Callithrix jacchus: one gene and its partners. The protein of the gene in region 1 purifies or fractionates together with the protein of each later gene. This does not show direct contact. Links are inferred from orthologs where the notes say so. Each region holds a gene or a part of one and is shown in the gene's direction. Other genes may lie near its edges.

The links.
Region 2: the proteins of HNRNPA1 (region 1) and DHX30 purify together in Homo sapiens (affinity purification with mass spectrometry; 3 studies listed by BioGRID and IntAct, with this or other methods). This does not show direct contact. The link is inferred for Callithrix jacchus from reciprocal best matches to the Homo sapiens genes HNRNPA1 and DHX30.
Region 3: the proteins of HNRNPA1 (region 1) and NGRN purify together in Homo sapiens (affinity purification with mass spectrometry; 3 studies listed by BioGRID and IntAct, counting the BioPlex papers as one, with this or other methods). This does not show direct contact. The link is inferred for Callithrix jacchus from reciprocal best matches to the Homo sapiens genes HNRNPA1 and NGRN.
Region 4: the proteins of HNRNPA1 (region 1) and RPS3 fractionate together in Homo sapiens (co-fractionation; 3 studies listed by BioGRID and IntAct, with this or other methods). This does not show direct contact. The link is inferred for Callithrix jacchus from reciprocal best matches to the Homo sapiens genes HNRNPA1 and RPS3.
Region 5: the proteins of HNRNPA1 (region 1) and HNRNPM purify together in Homo sapiens (affinity purification with mass spectrometry; 6 studies listed by BioGRID and IntAct, with this or other methods). This does not show direct contact. The link is inferred for Callithrix jacchus from reciprocal best matches to the Homo sapiens genes HNRNPA1 and HNRNPM.
Region 6: the proteins of HNRNPA1 (region 1) and MOV10 purify together in Homo sapiens (affinity purification with mass spectrometry; 3 studies listed by BioGRID and IntAct, counting the BioPlex papers as one, with this or other methods). This does not show direct contact. The link is inferred for Callithrix jacchus from reciprocal best matches to the Homo sapiens genes HNRNPA1 and MOV10.
Region 7: the proteins of HNRNPA1 (region 1) and HNRNPH2 purify together in Homo sapiens (affinity purification with mass spectrometry; 3 studies listed by BioGRID and IntAct, with this or other methods). This does not show direct contact. The link is inferred for Callithrix jacchus from reciprocal best matches to the Homo sapiens genes HNRNPA1 and HNRNPH2.

What each region holds. Positions count from the first base shown.
Region 1 is NC_133510.1:65,267,894-65,272,531, reverse strand, and holds the start of HNRNPA1 (heterogeneous nuclear ribonucleoprotein A1), read left to right. Parts: upstream 1-1,731; 5' UTR 1,732-1,792; coding exon 1,793-1,807; intron 1,808-2,365; coding exon 2,366-2,482; intron 2,483-2,772; coding exon 2,773-2,919; intron 2,920-3,056; coding exon 3,057-3,267; intron 3,268-3,367; coding exon 3,368-3,460; intron 3,461-3,546; coding exon 3,547-3,639; intron 3,640-3,776; coding exon 3,777-3,851; intron 3,852-4,055; coding exon 4,056-4,211; intron 4,212-4,638. UniProt on the Homo sapiens protein: Involved in the packaging of pre-mRNA into hnRNP particles, transport of poly(A) mRNA from the nucleus to the cytoplasm and modulation of splice site selection.
Region 2 is NC_133516.1:30,535,522-30,540,114, forward strand, and holds the start of DHX30 (ATP-dependent RNA helicase DHX30), read left to right. Parts: upstream 1-1,554; 5' UTR 1,555-1,575; coding exon 1,576-1,771; exon of another isoform or gene 1,772-2,051; intron 2,052-3,830; coding exon 3,831-3,961; intron 3,962-4,593.
Region 3 is NC_133507.1:19,384,468-19,389,099, forward strand, and holds the start of NGRN (neugrin), read left to right. Parts: upstream 1-1,659; 5' UTR 1,660-1,687; coding exon 1,688-1,851; intron 1,852-2,258; coding exon 2,259-2,369; intron 2,370-4,632. UniProt on the Homo sapiens protein: Plays an essential role in mitochondrial ribosome biogenesis.
Region 4 is NC_133511.1:65,547,329-65,551,169, reverse strand, and holds the end of RPS3 (small ribosomal subunit protein uS3), read left to right. Parts: intron 1-1,334; coding exon 1,335-1,522; exon of another isoform or gene 1,523-1,986; coding exon 1,987-2,180; 3' UTR 2,181-2,183; exon of another isoform or gene 2,184-2,981; 3' UTR 2,982-3,054; downstream 3,055-3,841. UniProt on the Homo sapiens protein: Component of the small ribosomal subunit. The ribosome is a large ribonucleoprotein complex responsible for the synthesis of proteins in the cell. Has endonuclease activity and plays a role in repair of damaged DNA.
Region 5 is NC_133523.1:8,000,762-8,004,313, forward strand, and holds part of HNRNPM (heterogeneous nuclear ribonucleoprotein M), read left to right. Parts: intron 1-573; coding exon 574-627; intron 628-2,710; coding exon 2,711-3,513; intron 3,514-3,552. UniProt on the Homo sapiens protein: Pre-mRNA binding protein in vivo, binds avidly to poly(G) and poly(U) RNA homopolymers in vitro. Involved in splicing.
Region 6 is NC_133508.1:150,657,043-150,660,898, forward strand, and holds part of MOV10 (helicase MOV-10), read left to right. Parts: intron 1-1,193; coding exon 1,194-1,348; intron 1,349-1,628; coding exon 1,629-1,805; intron 1,806-1,915; coding exon 1,916-2,063; intron 2,064-2,511; coding exon 2,512-2,670; intron 2,671-3,202; coding exon 3,203-3,306; intron 3,307-3,485; coding exon 3,486-3,583; intron 3,584-3,679; coding exon 3,680-3,856.
Region 7 is NC_133524.1:97,712,649-97,716,468, forward strand, and holds the end of HNRNPH2 (heterogeneous nuclear ribonucleoprotein H2), read left to right. Parts: intron 1-893; 5' UTR 894-946; coding exon 947-2,296; 3' UTR 2,297-3,096; downstream 3,097-3,820. UniProt on the Homo sapiens protein: This protein is a component of the heterogeneous nuclear ribonucleoprotein (hnRNP) complexes which provide the substrate for the processing events that pre-mRNAs undergo before becoming functional, translatable mRNAs in the cytoplasm. Binds poly(RG).

The sequences.
Region 1 (4,638 bases):
ACACAAAACAACTGACTTCATTTTTTATTTAGTTTTAATCACAGATCATTAACCCTGCAAAGTTTTAAACATTAAAGATCCAACTTGCCTCGATCCTACTGTGTCCCTAGGATTGACACACTTTAGGGTGTAGCTTTCCGAAACTTTTTTATTAGACCTACAACATATTAGTTCAGAAATATGCACTATTAGGAAAGAAATATTTCTCGAACGCCTTTCCATGACAGTATGTTGTGATTTTTCCTATTCGTTCTAACATTTTAACAGCTTCCTAAAGAAGCGACTTCTCAAAGTATTACTTAACAACAACAAAACCCTCCCCTGTTCTCCAAACCTCAAGTGGTGAGGAGGTGGGGGGGAAAATGTCAAGTCGAGGCAGCCAGGAGCAAACTTACGCTTTCAAGGAGGTTTATGGGACAGAGGCCTAAAGGCTTCCTTAGAGAAGTCACTGTGGATAAAACATTCACCCTCACACGCCATTACATTCACCGACTCCCCTTCCTCACAACCCCAAATCGAAGACCTCCCTCTTCTGGAGTCGATTGGACGACTGGTCCGAGCACTTTCCTTAGGCTGTCCGTCTACTGGCTCCAGATTCGGTCCATCAGTTTAACCGCCCGACTCCCGCATTCCCCATTGGAGTCAAACCGCTGCCTCCTGGAGAAGCCCAACCTACCGCGCGCTTCGCGCTTACTGGCTCAGTGAGACGCAGCTCAGGAGGGGAAACCCGTCTCCCACATTCCGATGGCCCCAAGGGCCCATCAGTCGGCAGCTCAAGGCAGACCCAATTGGCGTATACGCAAGCCAGTCAAAGTCTTCAGCTGCACCGCTCCAAAGAACCTACAGGGATTAAAACATCCCGCCCCCTGTTCTTCTATTGGTTGGCCCGACCCACCGCTGCCCTTTCACTATCCCCCACCCCGCGGTCCATTCATTTCACACAATAACGGGCCCAAATAGAGTCAGTTCGAGACCTACGATGGGTAGAGAAGACTGTCTGCCACTTACCCGGGATTGAGAGTGATCACTCACGCTAACGTCTGCCCTGTTGCTGTATGGTGAGGCCGCAACGCAAGCCACCACCGCCACCACCTTCTGCGCAACGCCAACCGCCCGCCAAAACGGATCCTTCCCTGCGCCTGCGCAACCAATCCGGGAACGGACCCTTTCTCCGCCCACCACGCATGCGCAAAGCTGGAACCAACTCCCGCCAATACGCAGGCGCCGTAGGGTCACTGCCTAGTACTGCCCGCCATTTCACGTGTTCCCAGAGGCTGCTGGAAGTTCTTAATGCGCCTGCGCAAAACTCGCCATTTTACTACACGTGCGCTCAACAAGCAGTCAAAATTTTGACCTGCTGGCTAACTGCTTTTCTGACACATAGTGTTAATCATGCTTTGCCAAGCGTAATATTTGTGCGGGGAAGATTAAAAAGGCGTTAAACACCCAAGGTATATTCAAATATGAATGATTTATCGGCTGGCCAATCAGACTGGTTAAGAATAATATTACTCGGGAACCAATGAACTCCAAGGGGTGGAGAGGGCGTAGACCGCCCAAAGGAATGACGTTACACAGCAGTGTGGCACCACAGGCCAATAGTAGGGGGAAGAGATTTCACACATCCAATCAGAACTGTTCAAGGGCGGAGTGTACCAATGCTGAAAGGGAGGAGGCGGGGTAAAAAAGAAAGGCCGAAGGTAGGCTGGCAGATACGTTCGTCAGTTTGCTCCTTTCTGCCCGTGGACGCCGCCGAAGCAGCATCGTTAAAGTCTCTCTTCTCCCCGCGATCATGTCTAAGTCAGAGGTGAGTTAGGCGCTCTTTCCAACTTGAATTTCTTCCTCTTCCTTTCCTGAATTGGTAAGATGCGGCTTGGTTTCGTTCCTTTCACCAGCCCATTCTACAGTTTTTTAGGTTGCTGCCACGGCCTACCCCTCCCAAAGTTCAAGTCGCCATTTTGTCCTGTTGATCGCCATGAGGCCGCTCGCGCCAATCATGAGTTATTATGCAGCACTCTATAGTCTTAGCAAAAATTCTTACGCACATAAGGCTTTTCCTTTTCTAAACCTTGCTTTGGTGAGCGAGTTTTTAAAAGAGCGATTAGTCCCATTTTGGCGATGTACCCCTCCCGCCTAAGCCTTTGTTGCGCGTGCGTCGGAAGGCGACTAGGGACGCATGCGCTTTGGATTTCGCAGCACTCCCAACCCCCAACATACCTTCTCCCCTGTTAGAGAGAAGCACATGGCTTGTTGCAATCTGAACGAACAATAAGTGCTACATACACAGTTGTCTAGTTTTGATTTTCCTCGATGGAAATTGTTTGGTGTTACAGCTCATTTAACACTTCCGCCTCCCCCACTGTAGTCTCCTAAAGAGCCGGAACAGCTGAGGAAGCTCTTCATTGGAGGGTTGAGCTTTGAAACAACCGATGAGAGCCTCAGGAGCCATTTTGAGCAATGGGGAACGCTCACAGACTGTGTGGTAAGAATTGGAAGGGACCAAACAGTAAAATAGTGGATTTCCTTGGTTTATCTTGGGGCGGTTCTCTCTGAATACTTAGGAAGGTTGTTAGTAGTATTATAGCTAGAGCCTTGTTGACGAAGGAAAGTCCTGCTTTGTTTGATAGAGTTACCTCTTAAACCTAGGATAGTGGGAAACTGGAGGGGTTTTTGTACAGGGCTGGTATAAAGTTTCCTATTCCCTTGTTCAAAGTTAAAATTACAAAAGTTTTTGGGGTCAGACTTTGTTACATGAATTAACACTGTTCTCAGGTCATGAGAGATCCAAACACCAAGCGCTCCAGGGGCTTTGGGTTCGTCACGTATGCAACTGTGGAGGAGGTGGATGCAGCCATGAATGCAAGGCCACACAAAGTGGATGGAAGAGTTGTGGAACCAAAGAGAGCTGTCTCAAGAGAAGTGAGTGGTTTTTTTACCCTTCAATTCTTTTGGCGATGTGCTGCTAGTGTATTTGGATTCAGGAGTTTTGTACTTAAAAATTTTTTTATTTGGGTGTAGGTTTGGCTAATCTAAACCTGTGGTTTTCCTCCTATTAGGATTCTCAAAGACCAGGTGCCCACTTAACTGTGAAAAAAATATTCGTTGGTGGCATTAAAGAAGACACTGAAGAACATCACCTAAGAGATTATTTTGAACAGTATGGAAAAATTGAAGTGATTGAAATCATGACGGACAGAGGCAGTGGCAAGAAAAGGGGCTTTGCCTTTGTAACCTTTGACGACCATGACTCCGTGGATAAGATTGTCAGTAAGTATCAAATAGTGGTATTTAGTAAGGGTTCCGCAGTCCATGTGGCGTTCTAAACCCTGAGACCATGTTGTACCTGTCTTCATTTTTTTTTTTTTAGTTCAGAAATACCATACTGTGAATGGCCACAACTGTGAAGTTAGGAAAGCCCTGTCAAAGCAAGAGATGGCTAGTGCTTCATCCAGCCAAAGAGGTATGCTTATTGCTTCATTAAACCTTAAAAGCAACTTTCAGTTACTCCAGTATGAATGATTTAACGTTTAAACTTCATCTCTTTAGGTCGAAGTGGTTCTGGAAACTTTGGTGGTGGTCGTGGAGGAGGTTTCGGTGGGAATGACAACTTTGGTCGTGGAGGAAATTTCAGCGGTCGTGGTATGTACGGCTTATTTACCTGTAGTTCTGACTTCTTACCATCTTTGCTATGCAGGTTTTACAGTACAGGAAGTGCATCCAGAATGTCATTTGATATGCAGATCATGCTTAAAACTTAAAACTTTGTTTTCTTCCAGGTGGCTTTGGTGGCAGCCGTGGTGGTGGTGGTTATGGTGGCAGTGGGGATGGCTATAATGGATTTGGCAATGATGGTAAGTTTTTTAGGAATAAGTAGATAAAAATTCCTGGCAACCTGTGTCTTTAGAATAGGTTAGTCAAGACTAAAATTCTAGTGCATGACAAGCTCAACTTTTCCCATAACACGCATGCTGTGAGCAGGCCTTCAGCCATTACACTTGCACAAGTTTTCATTGTCAAATACTTTTGTCTTATTGAGAAGAATTGTATTCTTGTAGGTGGTTATGGAGGAGGCGGCCCTGGTTACTCTGGAGGAAGCAGAGGCTATGGAAGTGGTGGACAGGGTTATGGAAACCAGGGCAGTGGCTATGGCGGGAGTGGCAGCTATGACAGCTATAACAACGGAGGCGGAGGCGGCTTTGGCGGTGGTAGTGGTAGGTATCCAGTGATCCAAGTACTTGGTGTGACAGCTAGAATAGCCTTTTAGAGCTTGGGTTCTTGGTGCTGTTGAAGCATTGTCTGGTACACTGCATGGTATATTAAATGGGCTTGCTATGCTACCTCCTCCTAGCTTTAAGCTGGGGCCGCCTCACTCCCAATTAGTAGAGATAAGTGGATAATGGTGTCTTTGAGTTAGATTAGTGTCATAGAAGGATTTAGTATCTTAAATGCTTTGGGACCTTAGGCGCTTAGTTGATGGATCCAAGAAATTTCTGATTGCCTGTGGCCCTAGATCTCCCATGAAGGCCTTCAAGGCTGGAGGGTGTGTTTGTGCCGCTATGGAAATCTCTCTATGTCATGGAGTTAGGCCAATTTTCTTACGACTGGATTATTCAACTGAATGCCTTTCCCAGAGAATGA
Region 2 (4,593 bases), on another chromosome or scaffold:
TTAACTAAATGTAAGGGGGTTTTAGGCTGCCTTCAGCCAAAACTTCTCCTGAAAATACGAAAAAACTTGCAGGCTTTTCGAAAGGGTTTGAGACTATATCGTGTAACTTTCTCTACCGTTTTTCCCTTAATATTTTTGCCACTACCTCCTACACAAGTCTCCCTCCCACTGTGCTCCCCCACCCCCTGCCCCGCCAAGAGACTGAGACCTTGAGGCCCTGGCTCTGCGCTGTCACTACCCTCAACATACAGATTCAGTCTAATTCCTAGTTGACCCAGAGCCCTGCTCCTCAAGGCCATAGGAGGCAGAAGAGAAATGAGCCTGGCTAAGATCCAGGCAGAATATTTTGGAAATGAAATCCTATTTGGCGTTCCAGCAAGTGCAGAACAGCAATTTTTTTTTTTTTTTAAGATGGGGTTTCACCATGTTGGTCAGGCAGGTCTTGAACTCCCGACCTCAGGTGATCCGCCCGCCTTGGCCTCAAAAGTGCTTGGATTACAGGCGTTGGCCACTACGTCCGGCCAGGAACAGCAATTTCACTGCTGGACTTCACGCTGGACCAGCTCAGTTCCTGGCGGTTTCCAAAGTTGGGTGTTTTCACCTTCCCCTCCAGCCCTGGGGATTACATCTGTTTCTGCTTATGTTGAAGAAGAGGTCTTCCTTGGCCTGCCTCCAGATCTTTTTCGTTTTTAAACATAATAGAGTTGGGGTCTCACTATGTGGCCCAGGCTGGTCTCAAAATCCGGGGCTCAAGCAGTCCACTTGCCTCAGCTTCCCAAAGTGTGGGGATTACAGCTGTGAGCCACCACACCCTGTCCTGGCTCCAGATCTTCACCAGGTTTACTTTGTAAGCCATTAAATAAGATGGGGTGGCAGGGCGTGGTGGCTCATTCCTGTTATCCCAGCACTTTGGGAGGCCGAGGTGGTTGGATCACCTGAGGTCAGGAGTTCAAGACCAGCCTGACCAACCTGGGGAAACCTGGTCTCTGCTAAAAATAAAAAAAAAATAGCAAATACAAAAATTAGCTGGGTGTGGTGGCAGGCATCGGTAATCCCAGCTACTTGGGAGGCTGAGGCAGGAAAATAACTTGAATCCAGGAAGAGAGGTTGCAGTGAGCCGAGATCTAGCCAGTGCACTCCAGCCTGGGCAACACAGCAAGACTCCATCTCAAAAAAACAAAAACAAAATGGGGCTGCCGATTTGCCAGAAGCATGTTGAGAAGTTGAGAGATAGGAACAATTGGTAGGGAACTAACTTCGCTTCCTTATATGACATTGAGCTAAGGCCTAGCATTATTTTCTCCCCCAAAGACCCATTCCGTCTTCCTGCCTCCGATCCACGTGACTGCCGGTTTAGATTTGCCGGAGAGTGAGCTCGGCAGGTTCCAAGCCCTGGGCCGCGCCGAGCCTGCCTACTCCTGGGCGCTCAGGGCTGTAGTGAGCGGATGCCCTCGTCCAGGCTCGGCCGTCGGGTCCGCCCGGCCGGCAGGGGGCGCGCAGAGCTCAGGCCGGCTGCTCCCGTTCTCTTCGCCAGGTCTCTTCAGCACACAGGCCGCGGGGGTCGGCGGGAGCACGATGGCGGCCGCCAAGAGGTTCATGGGGCTGGTCGCCGGCGTCTCCCCGCGCCTGCGGCCGCTGGGTACCCGCTCTGCTGGACCACAGAGTCGGTCGCGCAGCTTCTCCTCAGGCTGCGCCCCCTCCGACTGCACCGAGGCCGAGTCAGGGATGGCCCCGGGCGGGCCTGGGGAAGGCGACGGAACAATGGTGAACGGTGAGGGCAGCAGCGAGGGTGGGCGGCTACGCCCTTGACTCCTGGGATGGCGGCGCTAGGGGCGCGGGCCGAAACCCGGCCTAGCGGCCGGGGGTCCTCTCTTTCATAGCGGCCAAGTTCGCCATCCGCCGGCGGGACGCCGCCCTGCTGTTTGTAAAGCTTAGCGTGGCACAGGCCCAAATAGACCCTTAAGAACCTACCTGCTTCTGGCAGGAATAGTTGAGAGGCGCGAGACCTCGAGACAGTGAGGAAAACGAGTAAAAGTCCAACTCCTGCCAGGGTGAGTAAACAAGGGCTAGAGCTTCTAGGGATAAGCATGCCTTCACCAGTGTGAGAAATAGCCCAAAATACTCCTGAGACATCAGGATCTCAAATAGATACAGAATGACTGCTCTGGTGGACTCCAGCTTTGTGCCTCCCGAATAGTGCAGAGAATAAAGCTGGCGAAAGCATCGAAGTTGGGTAGAGAACGCCAGTCTCCACCAACCTTATAAAGCTGAAGGGGGGGTCTCAGTGCACCTCTGTTGTTAAACCAGTGGATCTACTAGGCTATTCAGAGTTAGGTACTTCTGTGACCAGTCCCCCGAAGTCCACTTATATATGGTTTCTTAATTGCTTGAATCTTAGTTGCTTTACAAGTGACCGCTTAGAGGGAGACCGGACCAGGTGTTCTCCATCCTGGCCACTTGACACAGGACTCTGTTCCAAGGAAACAATCTCAAACCAGCAGCAGAGTTACATCAGAATGCTTGGAGGCATTTTTTTCAAAATAAAGAGCCTCCTCCAACATCGCTGCCATTCTCAGGTGCCCTGTGGGGAGCTGGATGCCCATGTGGTGAAAAAGCTCCCCGGGTGATCAGTGTACATGCAGGTGCACATGTGCATATAGAGTGCTCCTTTTGGAACTGCCAGAGTCTAGAGTGGAGAATATGGACCGCCCCCCATGTTCCTAGCAGACCTCTTCATGACCTGGTTAAGCCTTGTGTCTGGTACAAGCTTCCTCTAGGTAGACATCTCACCCATTTCTGCTCTGGGATTGATCCAAAAAACAAGTGAAAAGAAGCAAGGCACCTCTCATGGTATCTGATGCATCAGTTTTCTCTGTGATTCCAGAGAACTTGGAGGAGGAATAACTCATTCCTGCTCAGATGTAGAGGTCTTTTTAAATTAATTAATTTTTTTTTTTGATACGGGGTTTTGCTCAGGCCGGAGTGCAATAGCGTGATCTCGGCTCACTGCAATCTCTGCCTCCCGGGTTCAAGTGATTCTCCTGCCTCAGCCTCCTGAGTAGCTAGGACTACAGGTGTTAGCCACCAATCCCAGCTAATTTTTGTATTTTTAGTAGAGACGGTGGTTTCACCCTGTTGGTCAGGCTGGTCTTGAACTCCTGACCTCAGGTAATCTGCCTGTCTTAGCCTCCCAAAGTGCTAGGATTACAGGCATGAGCCACTGTGACCAGCTGTAGAGGTCTTTAATCAGTCCCCACACATAGTTTGGCTCTGTGGAAGCCTTTTGCAGTGTGCTTAGGTATACTTGAGAGCCGGGGCCTGGTATTCAGTGTCTGGGTCTCATCACTTGAGATACATACGGCCAGGCCTCTCTTCTGTGTGTATCATTTTAGGAGGGGCCTTGCATTGTCTTGATCTCCAGTTTGTGTGTGTGGTGAATTTTTGTTTTGTATTTTTTGTTTGTTTGTTTGTTTGTTTAGTACCTTCTTTCAGACATCAGACTAGGAGGGTTTATTAACCAACCAGGCTTCTGTAGCTGATGTATGAAATAAGGAGGTCGGGCGGGGAAGAGGATGCTGGTACATTCCCTTCTGTGGTGTATGGGTCATTAGCCCTTTTCTTTCAAGAGGTGGTTATTGGAGTGAATTATTCAAGTGGGTCTTGCCCCACTCTCCCCTGTAAACCCTGAAGTCATTCCTCCTTTGTTTTTCAAGATGCTCCTGGGTGGTTTGGGGTCATGAGCCAACATCCTCAGAATCCAGCCCAGGGTTGCACCATGGAGTTTTTAAAAGAAAAAGAACAATTGTAATGTTTTGTTCTTATTTTCTTAGCTTCTAGGGACTTATTAAAAGAGTTCCCACAGCCCAAAAATCTTCTCAACAGTGTGATTGGAAGAGCCCTTGGCATCTCACATGCAAAAGACAAACTAGTCTACGTGCACACAAATGGACCGAAGAAAAAGGTAACTCTGCTGGTGGCAAGGAAAAACACTGATATGACTGAGAAAGAAGGCTGTTTGTTCTTTCTCTCTTGGGTTTCTTTGTCAAGGAAGCCATAGAATGGGTTTCCTGAATTAAAATGGTCAGCAGATGCTCAGAGCAAAGCTAGGTTTGAAGAACAGCCAGAATACACATGCCTGGATTAGGGAAGCGGAACACAGGGCAAATGAGGCACCGTCTTGTCTAAGACAGGCCCCTACACTGATCCTTGGTTTTTGTTCCCCATCAACTAAGGACTGTGGAGGGTTAGAGATGATGATGAGAATTCTTGCCCTTAGAGTCCTATAAATTCTTGAACTATAGAAGCATGCAGGCAAACCATTCTGAATGATTTTTTTTAACATTTATTTATTTATTTTTGTAGAGACAGAATCAGAGTCTCTCTGTCACTCAGGCTTGAGTGCAGTGGTGCAGTTGTAACTCACAGTAACCTCAAACTCCTGCAATCAAGTGATCCTCCTGCCTCAGCCTCCAGCATAGCTGGGATTGCAGGCAGGTACCATCTCACTCAGCTTATTTTTTGTAGAGATGAATTCTTGCTATGTTGCGCAGGGTAGTCCTAAACCCTTTGGCTCAAGGGATCCTCCCTCCTCAG
Region 3 (4,632 bases), on another chromosome or scaffold:
CAGTGCCAGAATCAAGCTCACTAGCCTAAGTATGCAAAACTAGCTTTCATCACTTGGACCTGTGTAAATGCCACTAGTAAACATAGAGCTTGGATGCTCCCAAAATATAATATGGCACTTTCACTAGGGCCAGAATGGGGAAGTTAGGGTATCCATTTATTTACTTCTTTATTTTTTGTTTTTTTGAGACAAGGTCTCTGTTGCCCAGGCTGGAGTACAATGGCTTGACCTCACCTCACTGCAACCTCGGCCCACGGGCTCAAGCAATTCTCCTGCCTTAGCCTCCTGAGTAGCTGGGACTACAGGCACATGCCACCATGCCTGGCTAACTTTTGTATTTTTTATTTTCGCCATGTAGCCCAGGCTGGTCTTAAACTCCTGAGCTCAGGTGATTTGCCCACCTCCGCCTCCCAAAGTGCTAGGATTACAGGTGTGAGTCACCGCAGCAGGCCTGTTTAATCCTTTCTGTACAGTAGACTGTGGTGATAGAAATGGCAAAAACAGAGTCCTGGCACTCAACAAAGGTAACAGGAACATGGACAAGTAGACATTCCAATGGCAATACAGTGTGATAAAGACAGTGGAGGGACGCATGGGATGCCCTTCTTCTGTGTCATTGGGTTACAGTTGGGAAAGAGGTGAGCAAATCTCTTCTGTGAGTACCAACTCAGGGACATCCATGTTTCCGCTGCAGAAGGCCAAGCCAGCAGAAGGTTAGAAGCCATAAACCGAGTCCTGGCAGGATCAGTGCCACCCACTTTAACCCCAAAGCAGGGCTATCTTCTGCAACCGGAAAGGGTGGCATCTGACTCCTGGGCTGAATGCACCTTGCCCTCCGTGGTAAACTCTGAACACATAGAAGCCAAGGTTCCCCTCTGCCCTGCGTCTGCACCGGTGCTGCAGCGTTCCAGAACACTCTTCAACATCAGTCAGTTCAGGTAAAAGCAGGAGGGAAGCCCAGCACTCTACCTCTCCTAGAGAACCTCCCGAGGTTTCCAGAGGGGCAAAGGGTATTCAATCTATGCTAAATGAAAGATTGCCACCAAGTTCCACTTTGAAAAGCCCTGCCCAGGAACCCCATTTGCACAAGGCAAAATACAAAGACACCAATACCCTAAGATTATTTGGAAATCGGGAAAGCCTAGAAGATGAAGAGGCGCCAAGGACAGCCACGTACTGATTTCTGCTCATCAAGCCTTAGCCTGGGTTTGTCGCTAGGTGACGGGTCTTAACCCTAGGTGCGGCCCGGGGCTGAAGGCCATCCTGGAGACAAAGAGCCCCTTTCTCTGAGGAGCCGAGTACCCAAGTCACCGGCTGTCGCCGTCAGAAGACCGCTGACCGGAAGCCCTGCCCGCGGCGGTGGCGGAGACAGGCAGGCCTGGGCAGCCGCTAGTGCGGAGAGACGGCGCTTGGAAACTGAATCCGTTTTTTAATTAAAGTTTGTGCCGTTTTCTAGGCGCGTCCTGTGCCTCATTTCCGAGCTCGCGTTTCAGGGAAGCCCCCTCCGCAGCTACAGCCACGAAGGCTGGGCCAAAGAGCGCCACAGGCCCAGATCTCCCCCAAACCAAGTGAGGCAGGAAATATTTGCTACCACTCAGCTTCCGGCCCGCCCCTTTCGCTTCCGGTTCTGCCTTTCTACTTCCGCTGCTGTCTCGTAGCGGACTACTGAAGACTAGTTAGCGTCGACATGGCGGTTACCCTGAGGGTCTTGCTGGGCGGCCGCATTCGCGCTGCCGTTGCTCGCTGTGGGTTTGCGACCGGGGGAGTGGCAGGCCCAGGCCCTATCGGCCGAGAGCCCGACCCCGATACCGACTGGGAGCCGGAGGAACGGGAGCTGCAGGAGGTGGAGAGGTACAGGCTTCTCCCCGGGCCCTCAGCTTGAAGCAGGGCCTCGCGCCCCGGCGCCCTAGGCTGCGCCCTCGGCGCTGGGCGTCCTGTGGCCGCTTGCGCAACGTCCCTTGTTCCTTCTTACCCGTTGTCAGGGGCGCAGCGTCAGGTGTTCAGCTCCCCTGGAACCCCTGGTCCCTTCACTAGTGACGTATTTCATCACCAATATAGAAAGTTCGGCATCTCGCGGGCAGTTACTGTGTTCTAGGTGTTAGCTTTTGGGTGTACAGAGCAGCTCTAAGCAGGCAACATGGCCCGGTTGCCCTTGCAATCCTAGAGAAGAGGGCTGGGCGCTCCTGATTTAGCCTGAGGCTCTTCAAACATCCATTCTGCTTCCACGCATGGCTTCCGCCCTTGATTCTTTCCCCCAGCACCCTGAAACGACAGAAAAAAGCAATCCGATTCCAGAAAATTCGAAGGCAAATGGAGGCGCCTGGTGCTCCGCCCAGAACCCTGACGTGGGAGGCCATTGAGCAGATCCGGTAAGACTCAGTGCACCTCCTATGTTTCTGCTGTGATGAGAAGTGAAGGATACAGGATCCCAGAACACGGGTTTGGCTTTTATATTTTTGTTTACTTTTTGTCATTGAAATTTATTATCAGAAAAGTAGAGTAATATAACGAACTTCCATAAACCTGTCATCATCTAGATTTAATAGTGTTTTGTTTTGCTTTTTAAAGAGACGGGGTTTCGCCATGGTCTCAAACTCCTAACCTCAAGTGATCTGCCCACCTGGGCCTCCCAGAGTGCTGGGTTGTGTCCAGCCTGGATTTAATAGTTTTTTTTTTTTTTGTTTTTTATTTTGGGTTTTTTTTTTTTGGTTAGGCAACTGGAAAGATTTAATAGTTCTTAACGTTATGCCATGGTTGGTTCATTTTTGCTGACATTTAAAAAAAATAGTAACGGAGACATCACAACATTTAAGCCCTGAATGGTAGATCATAACCTTCCCAAGGTCCAGGGATGCTGGTGTTTCCATAGTTAGGTGCATTTTTCTGAATAGAGGATCCATAATTTAGGGAAGCTTAAAAGGGATTTTAAGGTTTTTTTGTTCTGAGTAGGTAAAGCATTACATAATGGCTTACTGTCTTTTTTTTTTTTTTTTCTTTTTTTCTCTTTTTTGAGACAGTTTCGCTCTTGTTACCCAGGCTGGAGTGCAATGGCGCGATCTCGGCTCACTGCAACCTCCGCCTCCTGGGTTCAGGCAATTCTCCTGCCTCAGCCTCCTCAGTAGCTGGGATTACAGGCACGCGCCACCATGCCCAGCTAATTTTTGTACTTTTAGTAGAGACAGGGTTTCATCATGTTGACCAGGATGGTCTCGATCTCTTGACCTCGTGATCCACCCGCCTCGGCCTCCCAAAGTGCTGGGATTACAGGCGTGAGCCACCGTGCCTGGCCTTGGCTTACAGTCTTAACAGTATAACATGGTATACGCATTGAGAATTATTTGTCCCACCCACTGTCCTGTGGATATTTTTTCACCCCTACGGATCACTGCAACCTCTGTCTCCTGGGCTCAAGTTATCCTCCCACTTCAGCCTCCCAAATAGCTGGGTCTACAGGTGCATGCCACCATGCCTGGTTAATTTTATTTTTTGTAGAGACGGTCTCATCATGTTGCCCAGGCTTGTCTCCAATTCCCGGGCTCAAGCAGTCTTCCCATCTCGGCCTCCTAAAGTGTTGGGATTATAGGCATGAGCCATTGTGCATAGCTGTACTATTTTTTTAATGGTTTTTCTCTACCAAAAATAGCCAGGCTCCGTGCCCTGGGTGAGTCACTGCGCCTGGCCCTTAATTCTTTTTTATAGATGGCATTATCATAGTTTTTTGAGGCAGTATAAGATAGCGGTTTTTAATTTAATTTTTATTTAAACATTGGTTTCCTCCTTTCTATTTAACAGAGATGAGGATTTCACTATCATGACCAGGCTGATCTCAAACTTCTGGCCTTAAGTGATGTTCCCATCTCGGCCTCCCAAAGTGCTGGGATTAGAGGTGGGAACCACCACGCCTGGCCAGGATGCATTATTTAACATGTCTTTTGTTATGAGCGTTTAGTTGGGCTATTTCCATTTCTGTTGCTCACTAATAGTGCTCCAGTGAATAATTTTGTATATGTATCATTCTACGTACTTGTCAGGAATATTTTTAAATACATTCCCAGAAGTAAGGTTGCCAGGTCAAAAGACAGATGTATTTGCATTTTGATAAATATTGCTAAGTAGCCCTATGTAGGTTATGTATTATTTTTTATTTCCATCAGAATGACTCTGGAATTGAAATTTAAAAGGGGATTCTGTAGAGCTGGATAAGATTTTGTGAGCCTGTAGCACCTTCTGGATCCTCGGTCAGGTCTGTCTCCTTTTTTTTTTAAATTTGTTTTTGTTTGAGATAGTCTCACTCTGTCTTCCAGGCCAGCGTGCAGTGCTGAAATCTCAGTTCACTGCAGCCTCTACCTCCCAGGTTGAAGAGATTCTGGGACCTCAGCCTCTGCCTCCAGGGTTCAAGAGATTCTTGGGTCTCAGCCTCTTGAGTAGCTGGGATTTCAGATGTGCACCACCACACCTGGCTCATTTTTGTGTTTTTAGTAGAGATGGGGTTTCACCATGTTGACCAGGCTGGTCTCGAACTCCTGACCTCACATTTTCCACCTGCCTCAGCCTCTCAAAGTGCTGGGATTACAGACATGAGCCACCGGCGCCCACCCTGTATCCCCTGTCTTCAACAATAGCTTTTTCACT
Region 4 (3,841 bases), on another chromosome or scaffold:
GTGCTTTGGGAGTTAAACACAAATAGAACTGTCCAAGGAGGGGGCCAACTCCTGTTGGTCTTCTCAAGGATGTCTTACAAAGAGCCCTGTGGTGGGTGGCGGGCAATAGGGAATAATTTAGGCCTGTTGCTGGGCATGTGTTATGTATCCCTAAGTAGAAGTGCCTTAGTATTTGTGGGATACCATGAAACTTAGAACAAGCTAGTAGGGGTCATTCAAATCTACGTAGTGTGTTCACTCTTAAAATGTTACTGTGAAGAGATAAGACCTACTGGGAGAGAGCTTAAAATCTAGACACTGAAAACCTCTAAGTTGCATGCAGGTAGTAATGTGAGGGTCTGCTGGTAAGATTTCAACTGGAAGTTCTTTGTGCAGTTTGTATGTAAAGGCATTGGAATGCCTGGCCTAGGGGAAAGCTGTGCTGTAGGAAGGTTAACTGGTAAGGATGGGTGGTGTAGGCCGGGCTCTAGGTAAGGACCTAGAAAAGACTGCTTACCTGGTTTGAGTGCCAGTTGTGTTGCTTAGAACAGTGGTTCTCAGAAGATTTGTGTCCATCCCAGACCCACCAAATGGGAAACTGGATGTGTGATTCAGCAATCTGTCTTAACTCTCCCCCACATGGGCTTTCACACACTGAAGCAAGTTAATGAACTTCTGAGCCTAGGATCTCCTCTATCTTCTAAGGGGGACCATTATACCACCTCTCAATTGTGGAATAGTAAGTAAGATAATGTGAAAGGGCCTGGAGGTGGCTACCTCTTATCTTGCGGAGTGTAAACTACCAAATGAGTTGCAGGTAGGGCATATTTTAAAATGTTTTATCAGCATTCTAATAACGAGGTAGCCAGGGTCCTGTGTGGGTTAGCTTTCCTAGTGAATGAGACTTCTGGAGGTTGCAGAATATTTCAAGGAACCACAAAGTGGGTACTTGTAAAAATGTGGTTCTCAATTTTGGTTATATGTGAGAATCACCCAGGGAGCATTTTTAAATACATAAAGCCTGGACTTTGCCCATTTAATTGGCTTAGAATAGGGCCTAGACATCAGGGTTTCTTTTGTTTTTTTTAGCTTTCCGAGGTGATTCTGATAGGCAGCCTGGGTTGGAAAGTACTTGGTTAGGAGCTTGACGTACTTGATGAATATTACCCTAAGATTAGGTATGATAAGCCTGGAAGAGAATTAATATTTTTGGAGCCAGATTCTGGTCAGATTTATTCTCCATTAAAGGAACATTGAAAACTAAGTTTTCTTCTGGTTTTTAAACTTAGTGGGGGTTGTTAGATAAATTCTGTCCTTGACAGTAACACAAGAATGGATCTCCTGTTCTTCTGAAGGGCCTGCTATGGTGTGCTGCGGTTCATCATGGAGAGCTCGGCCAAAGGCTGCGAGGTTGTGGTGTCTGGGAAACTCCGAGGACAGAGGGCTAAATCCATGAAGTTTGTGGATGGCCTGATGATCCACAGCGGAGACCCTGTTAACTACTACGTTGACACTGCCGTACGCCATGTGTTGCTCAGACAGGGTAAGCAGCTGAGAGTGCTTGGCAAAGGGCATTTGTGGACACATTTGGTTTTCCACAGACATCTAAGTATTTGGGGAGTTTATCATGGAAGTGGCTGGGCATGGTCATACTCCTTGGCATGTTGATTGCCATATTTATCTGTAAGAATTGAATTGCTGATACCTTTTAGATCCAAGAGTTGGTTTGTCCTTGTTTTAGCCATCTGTGTACCCTTCAGTGATGACACGATGACGAGTCAGAAAGGTCACATCCTGCTCTTGGTCCTTGACAGTGCCATGTTTTGTGGTGCTGTTCACAGGTTCCTTTTGCAGAAGTGTGTCCTATTCATTGATTGATTTAGAGGCATTTGTCTGAGAAGGGACCAGACCCAGGTTGCTTGAGTAAACTGCTTGCTCTCTTTGGTCTTGTGTGGTGGGGGCCAGTGAGACCCCCAGCTGTGTGCTAACAACTGTGGTGTCTTCTAGGTGTGCTGGGCATCAAGGTGAAGATCATGCTGCCCTGGGACCCAACTGGTAAGATTGGCCCTAAGAAGCCCCTGCCTGACCATGTGAGCATCGTGGAACCCAAAGATGAGATACTGCCTACCACCCCCATCTCAGAACAGAAGGGTGGGAAGCCAGAGCCGCCTGCCATGCCCCAGCCAGTCCCCACAGCATAACAGGTATGCCTGCAGGGGCAGGGGTCTCTTGGGGCAGAATAGGGTCCTTCCTAGTCTTTCTGTTAATAACTTGTATCCCATACTCTGGTGAGCATTTGGTGATGTGGGAGAATACAAGTTGAAACCTGGGATCTCTTTAACCCTCAGTTCTATTGGGACAGGTGTTTGCCTTTATTTCAGAAAGAAGTTCCTGCTTTTACTCCTGTGTATGAAATAGTTTTCCCTTATTTGCTCAAATACTTTATTTTATTTTTTTGAGACACAATCTTGCCCTGTCGCCCAAGCTGGAGTGTAGTGGCAACCTCTGCTTCTCAGAGTCAAGCAATTCTCGTCTCAGCCTCCCAAGTAGCTGGGATTACAGGCACCAGCCACCGCGCTTGACTAATTTTTGTATTTTTAATAGAGACAGGGTTTCACCATGTTGGCCAGGCTGGTCTCAAACTCCTGACCTCAGGTGATCCCCCTGCCTTGACCTCCCAAAGTGTTGGGATTATAGGCATGAGCCACCATGCCTTGTTGCTCAAGATTTTGTAGATACTTTTGCTAGTAATTGGCTATTCTGTCCTTTAGCAGCCCCTGTAAAACAAGCCTCCTATGGTCAACCTTTGGGGGTTTTTTGTTTCTTGGTGTTTTATATTTTGTGTCTCTAGGAGCCTTGTAATTATTTTATGTGAAAAAGGACAAACGTTTATGTATGTATTTTTTGTTAGTGTTGCTAAGTGGGCGTGTGTATCCATTTGGTAAATGAAGGCTTAGTAACTCCAGTAAAGTTTCTTAATTTTGTGGTTTATTTGGTTTCAGGGTCTCCTTGGCAGCTGCATTCTGGAGTCTGAATGTTGCTCTGTAACGATCTTTAATAAAATACTGTACAAAAGACACAAGGCCTGACTAGACTGTTCATTCAGACTGAGGGGCATGTTGATCTGCAGAACATTACATATCTTCTTGGTTTTAACCATACTTGTGGTATTTGCAAGGACCAGAACAGTAAGACCCAAGCAGAACTAACTAGAGAAGTATCTGTGTAATAGCGAAGGCTGATGGCAAGCGAGGCAGCACCTTGATTCGTTGTCCTGTAGTTCAGGATTGTATGTTTAGAAGAGGGCTATATTGAGTTTTTCCTGTGTAAAGTGATCCACGTTGCATATACAAAGTGAGTATAAATGGCCATTATGTTTTCTGTCATGCTGTGTTCTAAGTGTTCTTCACATACGTACTCATTTAATCAAGCTCTATAAAGTGTAAAGGAAATTTGCTTGTGCCACCATATTTAAGGATCAGAAGTAAATTTGCCTAAGCAGTAAAAAGCTGTCCTTAGAATCCACATTCCTAAGTTGTGTTCTCTAGACCATTATGTGCTGGAGAACTATAAAGAACATTTAAATTGTCTCTGATTTTATCTGTCAGTGTTCTGAAGTATTTTCTACCAGTATGTATTTTACAAGAAATTGGGCACTATTTACTCAGGAAAAACTAGTGAGAGAGAGGTTGGCTTGAAAATCATGAGACTGCTGATAAATCAGATTCTGGCTGATCACAGAGGGACTTCCAGGGACAGCTGTTATGGCCTGCAAGGCCAAATTGAGTGGCTGCTTCCTGGTGATGCAGCCTGGCTGGTGAGAGAGTCCTGGCTCCATAGATGATTTAGCAGGTGCTGTGAT
Region 5 (3,552 bases), on another chromosome or scaffold:
GGATTTCCGTGCAGAGCTCATTTGTCAGGTAATGGGGGACTTTCAGCGTTGAGGCTGTCCATGGAGCTGGAGCTTTAATTTGCTCTGTCATAACAAGAGGTGCCTCTGGGTGGACAAATGTGGGCTTCAGGTGGGTGATGCTGGGCAGTCTTCTGAACAACAAGTTGGCTGGGGTGGGGGTGGGGGCTTAGTTTCCAGCTCAGGTGAGGTAAGGAAACCTCAGTCCTGAGAATCTGGACCAGAATTAGAAAACTGCTGCTGAGCAAGACCTGACGGCTCCCTTCTTGCTCTGGCTCTCAGCTCATGGATGCACACGGGGCTCCTGTCTCTGCCGGGCACATTCTCAGGTGACCCCCCACGCTCGGCCTTGGACTCTGGAGCTACCTGGGGTCTTGGCATTGTGACCAGCAGCAAGGACTTTGCTTGTTCTCTGTACAATGATCTTGTCTGTGTGTGTATGTTTCTCAACCCTTTCCCTTTTTCTTTTCATTTTTAGTAGTATTTCTGTAATGAGCACATTTCTGTTGCCATAGAGAAATTTGGCTAATTTTTTTTTCTTCCTGATTTCCTTAGAAATCCTAAGTAATGCACTGAAGAGAGGAGAGATCATTGCAAAGCAGGGAGGAGGTAGGAACTACTTAGTTTGATGTTTTGTTTTTTTAGAATAGGCTGTTATTGGTGGGGACCATAGAGCTTAGTGGTGAGAAGCATGGGCTCTGACACAGACTCCCTGGGGTGGGACCAGATCTGCTGCTTTCTAGCTGGGTGACATTTGGCAAGTCACTGAACCTGTTTCTCATAGCACTCATTTGTAAAATTGGAGTGTAATAGTACCTGCCTCAGGGATGCTGTGTGGAGAGGGAATGTGTGTGAAAGAGTACTGAAGCCTGTGCTGTGCACAGGCCGACCATCCTTACTGTCAGAGTACCTCGAATTTGGGGATTTTGTTTTCCACACTATAAATCCCTAAAAGTAAATATGTTTCCTTCTACTTGGTAAGTAGAAGAAATGTAATAAATGCTTACTAAAATAGATACATGTACTCAGTAGGAAAATAGGAAGAAAGTGTGATCTGAAGCCCTGCACCCAATGATGAGTGCTGGAAACATTCTGTTCTGCACCTTTCATGAATACACAGTTTTATGGATGCCTAGAACAAAATACACTTTGTGGGGGTTTTATTGGAGACAGTCTCACTCTGTCTCCCAGGCTGGAGTGTCATGGTGCAATCTCGGCTTAACTGCAGCTTGGACTTCCCAGGCCTAAGCAATTCTCCCACATTAGCCTCCCAAGCAACTCTGGGGCTATGGGTGCATATCACCTGGCCTGGCTAATTTTTTTGTATTTTGTGTAGAGACAGAATTTTGCCATATTGCCCAGTAACTTGAACTCCTGGCCTCAAGTGACCTGCACACCTCCAGAGTTATGTGATGACTGGTGTGAGCCACCACGCCCAGCCTAAATGTACTTTTTAGCCTGATTTTCTTCAAGGCTCTGAGTGTCTTGGCATCTTCCCTGCTGACTTCTGTGTTGGGCTTGCTCTGGAGCTCCACACTGGCACCATTTTTCCCCAGTTTTTGCAGCAGTTGGCATTGGGAGTTGCCTCATTTCTGATGTCTTTGGGCAAAGTGCCGATTCTCACTAGGTTCCTTCTACTGTGGGGAAGTTGGTTAGCTTCTGAGGCCTCTCCCCTCTGAAAATCTTCCATTCTTCAAGTTGGGCTTTTTGCTGCTCAGTGTGCTGCTGGGCAGTTAAGGAGCAGCAGAGCCACTCGGCCATGGTCAGTTAGAGAGCCAGTTAGAGAAACTGCTGAGTTTTCTCTTGAATTGGTATCTTGGACTAGAGCTCCTTGGATCAGTCACAGGCTGGCACGTGGCTGACAGCCACCCTCAGAGCCAGGCGGCGGCATTTGCAGGAGGAACCCTGAGCTTGGCATGTGGAAAGGGGTGGCCTTACTGATGGAGCCAGACCCTTCCTGTCCAGAGTTGCAGGGAACCACCAGTTGGGGTCCTTTCATTTTGCTGACTGACCCCAGCCGCTGCCAGAGCCAACTCTGCAGTGCCATCGACATCTTCTTTCCAAAGCTAGCAAGATATTTGGTTTCCCCAACAAAAAGGTCCCCTGAAGTGGCCAGCTGTGTGCATTTGTACACAGAGGATCTCTCTTGGTGTGTGTTTTCTTGACCTCTGCAGATCTTTTCTCTGTACCCTGGAGTGCTGAGGAAATGCAGCTGGTTTGGCCCCCAGCAGAGCATCCTAGGGGACAGGGTGGGAGCAGACAAGTGGGAGTGACTCTGACTTGCCTGCACGTCACTCCTTTTCATGACCCTGGGTGGCCCTCTGAGTGGGGGGTGTCCATGCCTCCCCCCGGAGCATTTCTCAATGTCTGCTGATGGAGAAACCTCAGGTCTCAGCAGTTGACATCTGTGGCTCACAAAGCTTGTCACAGACACTAGCACCTCACAGGCACATGCAGGAGAGTTGTGTTATAGAAATCTGAGCTGTGGCATAGAGCAGAGAGAATGCTCTGAGGCCTCCCTGTACCCACCACTCAGGCTGTAGCTGTTGTCAACATTCAAGGGGTGTCTTAATGGTAAATTATGGTGGGCCTTTACCTCTGATCTGTGCCCATGAGCTGAAGTGGTCTGGCATGTTGTGCACATGCACACACAAGTTCTTGGCACTCACTGTGTTTTGTGTCCCTGTTTCAGGTGGAGGTGGAGGCAGCGTCCCTGGGATCGAGAGGATGGGTCCTGGCATTGACCGCCTCGGGAGTGCCGGCATGGAGCGCATGGGCGCAGGCCTCGGCCACGGCATGGATCGCGTGGGCTCTGAGATCGAGCGCATGGGCCTGGTCATGGACCGTATGGGTTCCGTGGAACGCATGGGCTCTGGCATCGAGCGCATGGGCCCGCTGGGCCTCGACCACATGGCCTCCAGCATCGAGCGCATGGGCCAGACCATGGAGCGCATCGGCTCTGGCGTGGAGCGCATGGGTGCCGGCATGGGCTTCGGCCTCGAGCGCATGGCCGCTCCCATCGACCGTGTGGGCCAGACCATTGAGCGCATGGGCTCTGGCGTGGAGCGCATGGGCCCTGCCATTGAGCGCATGGGCCTGAGCATGGAGCGCATGGTGCCCGCAGGTATGGGGGCTGGCCTGGAGCGCATGGGCCCCGTGATGGATCGCATGGCTACCGGCCTGGAGCGCATGGGCGCCAACAACCTGGAGCGGATGGGCCTGGAGCGCATGGGCGCCAACAGCCTCGAGCGCATGGGCCTGGAGCGCATGGGTGCCAACAGCCTTGAGCGCATGGGCCCTGCCATGGGCCCGGCCCTGGGCGCTGGCATCGAGCGCATGGGCCTGGCCATGGGTGGCGGTGGCGGTGCCAGCTTTGACCGTGCCATTGAGATGGAGCGTGGCAACTTTGGAGGAAGCTTCGCAGGTTCCTTTGGTGGAGCTGGAGGCCATGCTCCTGGGGTGGCCAGGAAGGCCTGCCAGATATTTGTGAGAAATGTAAGTGGCTCTTGGGGAACTTCTTGGTGGTGGTGAGCA
Region 6 (3,856 bases), on another chromosome or scaffold:
CCTGACAGCAGGGCAGAACAGGAGGAAGGTTGAAGTGGTTCCCAGGCCTCCGAAAGAAGCCGGGTGGGCATCCTGTGCCCAAAGGTGTCTGAGCAGGGGCATGGGGAAGATCTGGGTTCTGGTCCAGGCTTCGCTACCACCTTGGGTAAGTCCCTTGCTTTCTCTGAGGCTTAGTTCCCTTATCTGAAAAGCGTAGAGCAGGACTGGATAATTCTTAGAACTCTTTCTAGCTCTTGGATTTTGAATGTGTGTATATAAGCCCAAAATTACACAAGAGAATGGATTTCCATACACAAGCGCAGGTGGGAATGACAGGGTGAGTTTGATCAAGGAAAGATGACTGCAGAGAGTGGGAGTTTTGAACAAGATTTTTTTTTTTTTTTTTTTTTGAGACAAAGTTTTGCTCTGTCGCCCAGGCTGGAGTGCAATGGCGTGTTCTCAGCTCACTGCAACCTCCGCCTCCCAGGTTCAAGCGCTTCTCCTGCCTCAGCCTCCCGAGTAGCTGGGATTACAGGAAGGAGCCACTGTGCCCAGCTAAGATTTTATTTTATGTTTTCAATTGTTTGGAGACAGGATCTCACCCTGGTGCTCAGGCTGGAGTACAATGGCATGATCTTGGTTCACTTTAATCCCCACCTCCTGGGCTCAAGGGATCTCCCACCTCAGCCTCCCGAGTTACTGGGAAGACAGGCCCGCCCCACCACACCCAGCTAAGTTTTGTATTTTGTGTAGAGATGGGGTTTTGCCATGTTGGCCAGGCTGGTCTCAAACACTTGGACTCAAGTGACTGCCTGCCTCAGCCTCCCAAAGTGTTGGGATTACAGACGTGAGCCACCATGCTTGGCTTGTTTTCTGTTGTTGTTATTTATTTTTTTTTTAGCAACCCGATTAGCTGAGGAACAGGATTTTTACAGGCAGAACAGGAACTGAGCTGGCCAAGGGGCAGCTGCACTGGAGGCTCCGGGTTCCTGGGCTCGGCACCTCTGTGCAGCTTTGGAAGATTTGTTTTCTGTTTCCCTGACTCCTGCTCTGGCTGGCATGAAAGGAGAGAGAGGTGTAGGGATAGCATAGTTCCCTGAGCCTTAGGTTAGAAGGCGAGTCTCAGTCCTTGTCCCTTAGAGGTCTGGAGAACCTAGGGGCTGGGCCCTCCAGCGTCCTTCCCTGGGATAGAAGCTTGTGTTCATGCCCCATAGGTTCCTGGGGTGACCGAGAGCCGCCCCTCAGTGCTACGGGGTGACCACCTGTTTGCCATTTTGTCTTCGGAGACACACCAGGAGGACCCCATCACTTATAAGGGCTTTGTGCACAAGGTGGAATTGGACCGTGTCAAGCTGAGCTTTTCCATGAGGTGGGTGTTGGGTGAACCCTGAGCTGCCGGAAGGATCTACAGGCTTTTCACCCCAGGGGAGGAGGAGTGTTTCTCCCTAAGATAAATGAGACCCCAAGGGCAGAGCAGGGAACTTTTCTTCAGGGGTATTCTGAGATGCCACAGTGGCTTCCTCTTGTAGAGAGCTTTGCTGTGAGGTCTTGGAACGTGGTTGGGACGGTGGTTGATGGAGAAGGTTCTGACCCTTTATTGCCCACTTCCCCCTCACAACAAATTCTTCCCTCCCTACCTCTGCCCAAAGCCTCCTGAGCCGCTTCGTAGATGGGCTGACCTTCAAGGTGAACTTCACCTTCAACCGCCAACCCCTGCGAGTCCAGCACCGCGCCCTGGAGCTGACAGGGCGCTGGCTGCTTTGGCCCATGCTCTTTCCTGTGGCATCTCGAGACGTCCCGCTGCTGCCCTCGGATGTGAAACTCAAGTGAGACTGTGGGCAGGGAGCCTCTTGGCGCGTGGGCACAGGGGAAGGAGTTGGGGAGGCCTCGGGGTCACTGGATGACTTCAAGTTCCCATTCCTGGTCCCTCTGCCAGGCTGTACGACCGGAGTCTGGAGTCAAACCCAGAACAGTTGCAGGCCATGAGGCACATTGTTATGGGCACCACCCGTCCAGCTCCCTACATCATCTTTGGGCCTCCAGGCACCGGCAAGACCGTCACATTAGTGGAGGCCATTAAGCAGGTGGGGCCTGAGCACAAACCTGGGGCCTGCACTGTGACTCCCCCAGCACCAAGCCTGGTTCATTCCCACTCCCCTGCAGTGCTCATGCCTGTAATCCCAGCACTTGGGGAGGCCTAGCCCGATGAGTTCAAGACCAGCTTGGACTGTCTTTATGAAAAAATAAAAAAATTAGCTGGGTATTTGAGGCTGCAGTGTGCTGCGATGGTGCCACTGCACTCCATCCTGGGTGACATAGTGAGACTCTGTCTCAAAAAAAAAAGGCAGGGGGGATTGGGGAGTACGAAGTTAGGGTAAACGTTGCTGTGGAGCACTGTTGCACAGGTAGGGCACTCCGTGACTCTTGGAGTCACCATTCACATTTCAGTCATCAGAGGCTTGCACCGCCCCAGCCTGAGTACGGCCAAGTCTCAGGAACCTGCCTCCCTCACTGCGCGTATCTGTATCTCAGGTGGTGAAGCACTTGCCCAAAGCCCACATCCTGGCCTGCGCTCCATCCAACTCAGGGGCCGACCTCCTCTGTCAGAGGCTCCGGGTCCACCTTCCCAGCTCCATCTACCGCCTCCTGGCCCCCAGCAGGGACATCCGCATGGTACCTGAGGACATTAAGGTACTAGGGAAGTGCAGAGGGCCAAAGAACGGCGAATGCTGGGGAGGCCAGGAAGCTAGGAGATCTGGATTCTGATACTTGCTGTGTGGCCTTGGGTTGGTCAGGACCCTCCCAGGGCCTCAGTTTGTAAGTGAGGAAGTGGATAAAACGTTTGGGGGGGTCAGGTGCCATGGCTCACACTTGTAACCCCAGCACTTTTGGGGGGCTGAGGCAGATTAGGAGTTTGAGACCGGCCTGGCCAACATGGTGAGGCTGTCTCTATTAAAAATACAAAAAAATTGGCTGGGTGTGGTGGCACATGCCTGTAGTCCCAGCTACTCGGGAGGCTAAGGCACGAGAATTGCTTGAACCCAGGTGGCGGAGGTTGCAGTGAGCCGAGATCGCGCCATTGCACTCCAGTCTGGGCAACAGAGCGAGACTCCGCCTCAATAAAAAATAGAAATAAAAACAAGTATCTGGGGGCCCACAGCCGGAGTCTGGGTGGGAATGAGTGGAGCCAAGCTGATTCCTATGGTCCCTTCACAATCCACAGCCCTGCTGCAACTGGGATGCAAAGAAGGGGGAGTATGTTTTTCCCGCCAAGAAGAAGCTGCAGGAATACCGGGTCTTAATTACCACCCTCATCACGGCTGGCAGGTGGGGAGTGTGTGTGGTTGTGTCTCTAAATCGTAAGTTTAACTAAAGGGGTAACAGGCTGGGAGATGGGGAAGAATGGTTTCTGGGGGGTGGTGGGATGAGGAGCCAGCCTGGGAAAGCATTCAGGTTTGGTAGCTGGGTGTCTGGATATGACCCCTGCCTGGCCTGACACCTCCCAGGTTGGTCTCGGCCCAGTTTCCCATTGATCACTTCACACACATCTTCATCGATGAGGCTGGCCACTGCATGGAGCCTGAGAGTCTGGTAGCTATAGCAGGTGAGGGACTCAGGTGGGGCTGCAAGTGTACACCCTGTGTGAGGTCAGAGAGGCTGCACCACTTACCTTTTTCCCCACACCTCTTCTGCTTCCCAGGGCTGATGGAAGTAAAGGAGACAGGCAATCCAGGAGGGCAGCTGGTGCTGGCAGGAGACCCTCGGCAGCTGGGGCCTGTGCTGCGTTCCCCACTGACCCAGAAGCATGGGCTGGGGTACTCACTGCTGGAGCGGCTGCTCACCTATAACTCCCTGTACAAGAAGGGCCCTGATGGCT
Region 7 (3,820 bases), on another chromosome or scaffold:
TGTCTATTTGCATTTATGTCTTTAATAATTACATACAATCCCCCTGTAGGACCATAAGCCCTTTGTGGGCTTATTGATTCTTGTATGCTAGAGCCGAGTATTGGACTTGGCAACTACAAGATGTTTCTAAAATGAATGTGTGAATTCCCAATAATGTCTTTTTTTCATTTATCTCTGAAGCCTAAATATATCCCTGATTTTATTGATTTGCCTACATTTTTATATAAGGATATTATATAAAGAACTTATATAACTTGTGTTTTGTGTTTTAATTATTGTTTAATCTTTTGATCTAGTGAAGTTTTTTATGTTTATATATTCAGATATAGCCATCTTTTATTTGTTGACATCTCCCATTTATTTGTTGCTGTTAATTTTTTTTTTTTTTTTTGAGATGGGATTTTGCCCTGGTTGCCTAGGCTGGAGCGCAGTGGTGTGATCTTGGCTCACTGCAACCTCTGCCTCCTGGGTACAAGCAATTTTCCTGCCTCAGCCTCCTGAGTAGCCGGGATTACAGGTGCCCACCACTATGCCCAGCTAATTGTATCTTTAGTAGAGATGAGGTTTCACCACATTGACTAGGCTGGTCTCAAACTACTGACCTCAGGTGATCCACCTGCCTCGGCCTCCCAAAGTGCTGGGATTACAGATGTGAGCCACGGTGCCTGGCCAATTGCTGTTAATTTTTAATGGTATCCAACACGTAATAGGCATTGAATAAATAACTGTTAAAAAATGAATGAGTTAAAAATTTGGTGAATTCTTTTTTGTTTATACAGATGTCTTACAGCAAAGCTGTCAGCATAATTGAGTTTTCTATTAATAGTTTGCTTTTCTCTTTTACTGTATTAGCATTTTTCCATGACAGTAGTCTTCTAATTTTTTTTTTCCAGCTACACCAAAATTGTGTTGAGCCAAACTTGCCACCAAGAGCCCAACAGTCACCATGATGCTGAGCACAGAAGGCAGGGAGGGGTTCGTGGTGAAGGTCAGGGGCCTACCCTGGTCCTGCTCAGCTGATGAAGTGATGCGCTTCTTCTCTGATTGCAAGATCCAAAATGGCACATCAGGTATTCGTTTCATCTACACCAGAGAAGGAAGACCAAGTGGCGAAGCATTTGTTGAACTTGAATCTGAAGAGGAAGTGAAATTGGCTTTGAAGAAGGACAGAGAAACCATGGGACACAGATACGTTGAAGTATTCAAGTCTAACAGTGTTGAAATGGATTGGGTGTTGAAGCATACAGGTCCGAATAGCCCTGATACTGCCAACGATGGCTTCGTCCGGCTTAGAGGACTCCCATTTGGCTGTAGCAAGGAAGAGATCGTTCAGTTCTTTTCAGGGTTGGAAATTGTGCCAAATGGGATGACACTGCCAGTGGACTTTCAGGGGCGAAGCACAGGGGAAGCCTTTGTGCAGTTTGCTTCGCAGGAGATAGCTGAGAAGGCCTTAAAGAAACACAAGGAAAGAATAGGGCACAGGTACATTGAGATCTTCAAGAGTAGCCGAGCTGAAGTTCGAACCCACTATGATCCCCCTCGAAAGCTCATGGCTATGCAGCGGCCAGGTCCCTATGATAGGCCAGGGGCTGGCAGAGGGTATAATAGCATTGGCAGAGGAGCTGGGTTTGAAAGGATGAGGCGTGGTGCCTATGGTGGAGGGTATGGAGGCTATGATGACTATGGTGGCTATAATGATGGATATGGCTTTGGGTCAGATAGATTTGGAAGAGACCTCAATTACTGTTTTTCAGGAATGTCTGATCATAGATATGGAGATGGTGGGTCCAGTTTCCAGAGCACCACAGGGCACTGTGTACACATGAGGGGGTTACCTTACAGAGCCACTGAGAATGATATTTATAATTTCTTCTCACCTCTTAATCCCATGAGAGTACATATTGAAATTGGACCCGATGGCAGAGTTACTGGTGAGGCAGATGTTGAATTTGCTACTCATGAAGATGCTGTGGCAGCTATGGCAAAAGACAAGGCTAATATGCAACACAGATATGTGGAGCTCTTCCTAAATTCTACTGCAGGAACAAGTGGAGGGGCTTATGATCACAGCTATGTAGAACTGTTTTTGAATTCTACAGCAGGGGCAAGTGGTGGCGCTTATGGTAGCCAAATGATGGGAGGGATGGGCTTATCCAACCAGTCTAGTTATGGCGGTCCTGCTAGCCAGCAGCTGAGTGGTGGTTATGGAGGTGGTTATGGTGGTCAGAGCAGTATGAGTGGATATGACCAAGTTCTCCAGGAAAACTCCAGTGACTATCAGTCAAACCTTGCTTAGGTAGAGAAGGAGCACTAAACAGCTACTCTAGATATAAAAGCTGTACATTTATGGGAGTTGAATAGAATGGGAGGGATGTCTAGTATATCCAGTATGATTGGCATATGGGAAATATTATTGATACTGATCACTCTTGGTCAGCTTCTCTTTCTTTATCTTTCTCCTTTTTTAAGAAAACAAAAGTTAAGTTTAACAGTTTTGCATTACAGGCTTGTGATTCATGCTTACTGTAAAGTGGGAGTTGAGATTATTTTGAAACTTCAAGTTCAGTAATTTTGAACACTGAAACATTCATCTAGGACATAATAACAAAGTTCAGTATTGACCATAACTGTTTAAACGATTTTTAGCTTTTCTCAAGTTAGTTATGTTGTAGGAGTGTACTTAAGCAGTAAGCTTATTTAGGTTAATGCAGTTTCACTTATGTTAAATGTTGCTCTTATACCACAAATACATTGAAAACTTTGGATGCATGTTGAGAAACATGCTTTTCTGTAAAACTCAAATATAGGAGCTGTGTCTACGATTCAAAGTGAAAACATTTGGCATGTTTGTTAATTCTAGCTTTTTGGTTTAATACTCTGTAAGGCACGTGAGTGTACACTTTTACTTTTTTTTTTTTTAAAGGATACGGGACAATTTTAAGATGTAATACCAATACTTTAGAAGTTTGGTCGTGTCGTTTGTATGAGATTCTGAGGCTTTGGTTTAAATCTTTCCTTGTATTGTGATTTCCATTTAGATGTATTGTACTAAGTGAAACTTGTTAAATAAATCTTCCTTTTAAAAACTGGAAAAAATCTTGCTCTGATTTTTATTATGTTCTGTCATATGGGCACACTGATTTTATAATTCCCTCTTAAAAATTTTAATTTAAAAATTATATTTACATCTTTATATGTTCATTGTTGCATATATCATTAGTTATTTCTAAGATACATCCCTAGAAATGGGATTGCTGAGTCAAGGATATACCCATTTTTAAGGCTTGTGATTTGTGTTACCAGAAAGATTCTGGTACTTTATCTTTCTACCTAGAGGACTGTGTGTTTTATTTTTCCCCCTCATACCCTCCTTATTGATGTACGTTAGTTTTTTTGATCTTTGCCAGTTTGTTAGTTGAGAAATGATATCTTTGCTATTTTAATTTGTATTTCTTTGATTAATATTAAAGTTGAACATTTTCTTTAAAAAAAACTTATTACCATGTCTACAGGACTGTTGAACTACTTTTGGAGACTGTTCTTACCAATATAGTATTCTCTAAAATCCAAAGAAGTGAAAGCAAATAAATAATCCTTTTTATTTCACCACAAACTAGAAGGCACCTTTGTATGTTAAAAAAGAAGTAGGCTTACAATTATTATGTGTTGAAAACAAAACATAAAAATGAAGCAGGCTTATGTTATGGCAATAAATTATCTCTTCCATGAATTTATTAGTAGAGTCTCTAAACACTCCCAGGTGTTTTTTAGGGCATCTAAAGCTTATCTTAAACCAGTGGTTCTCAAAGTTTCATGTGCA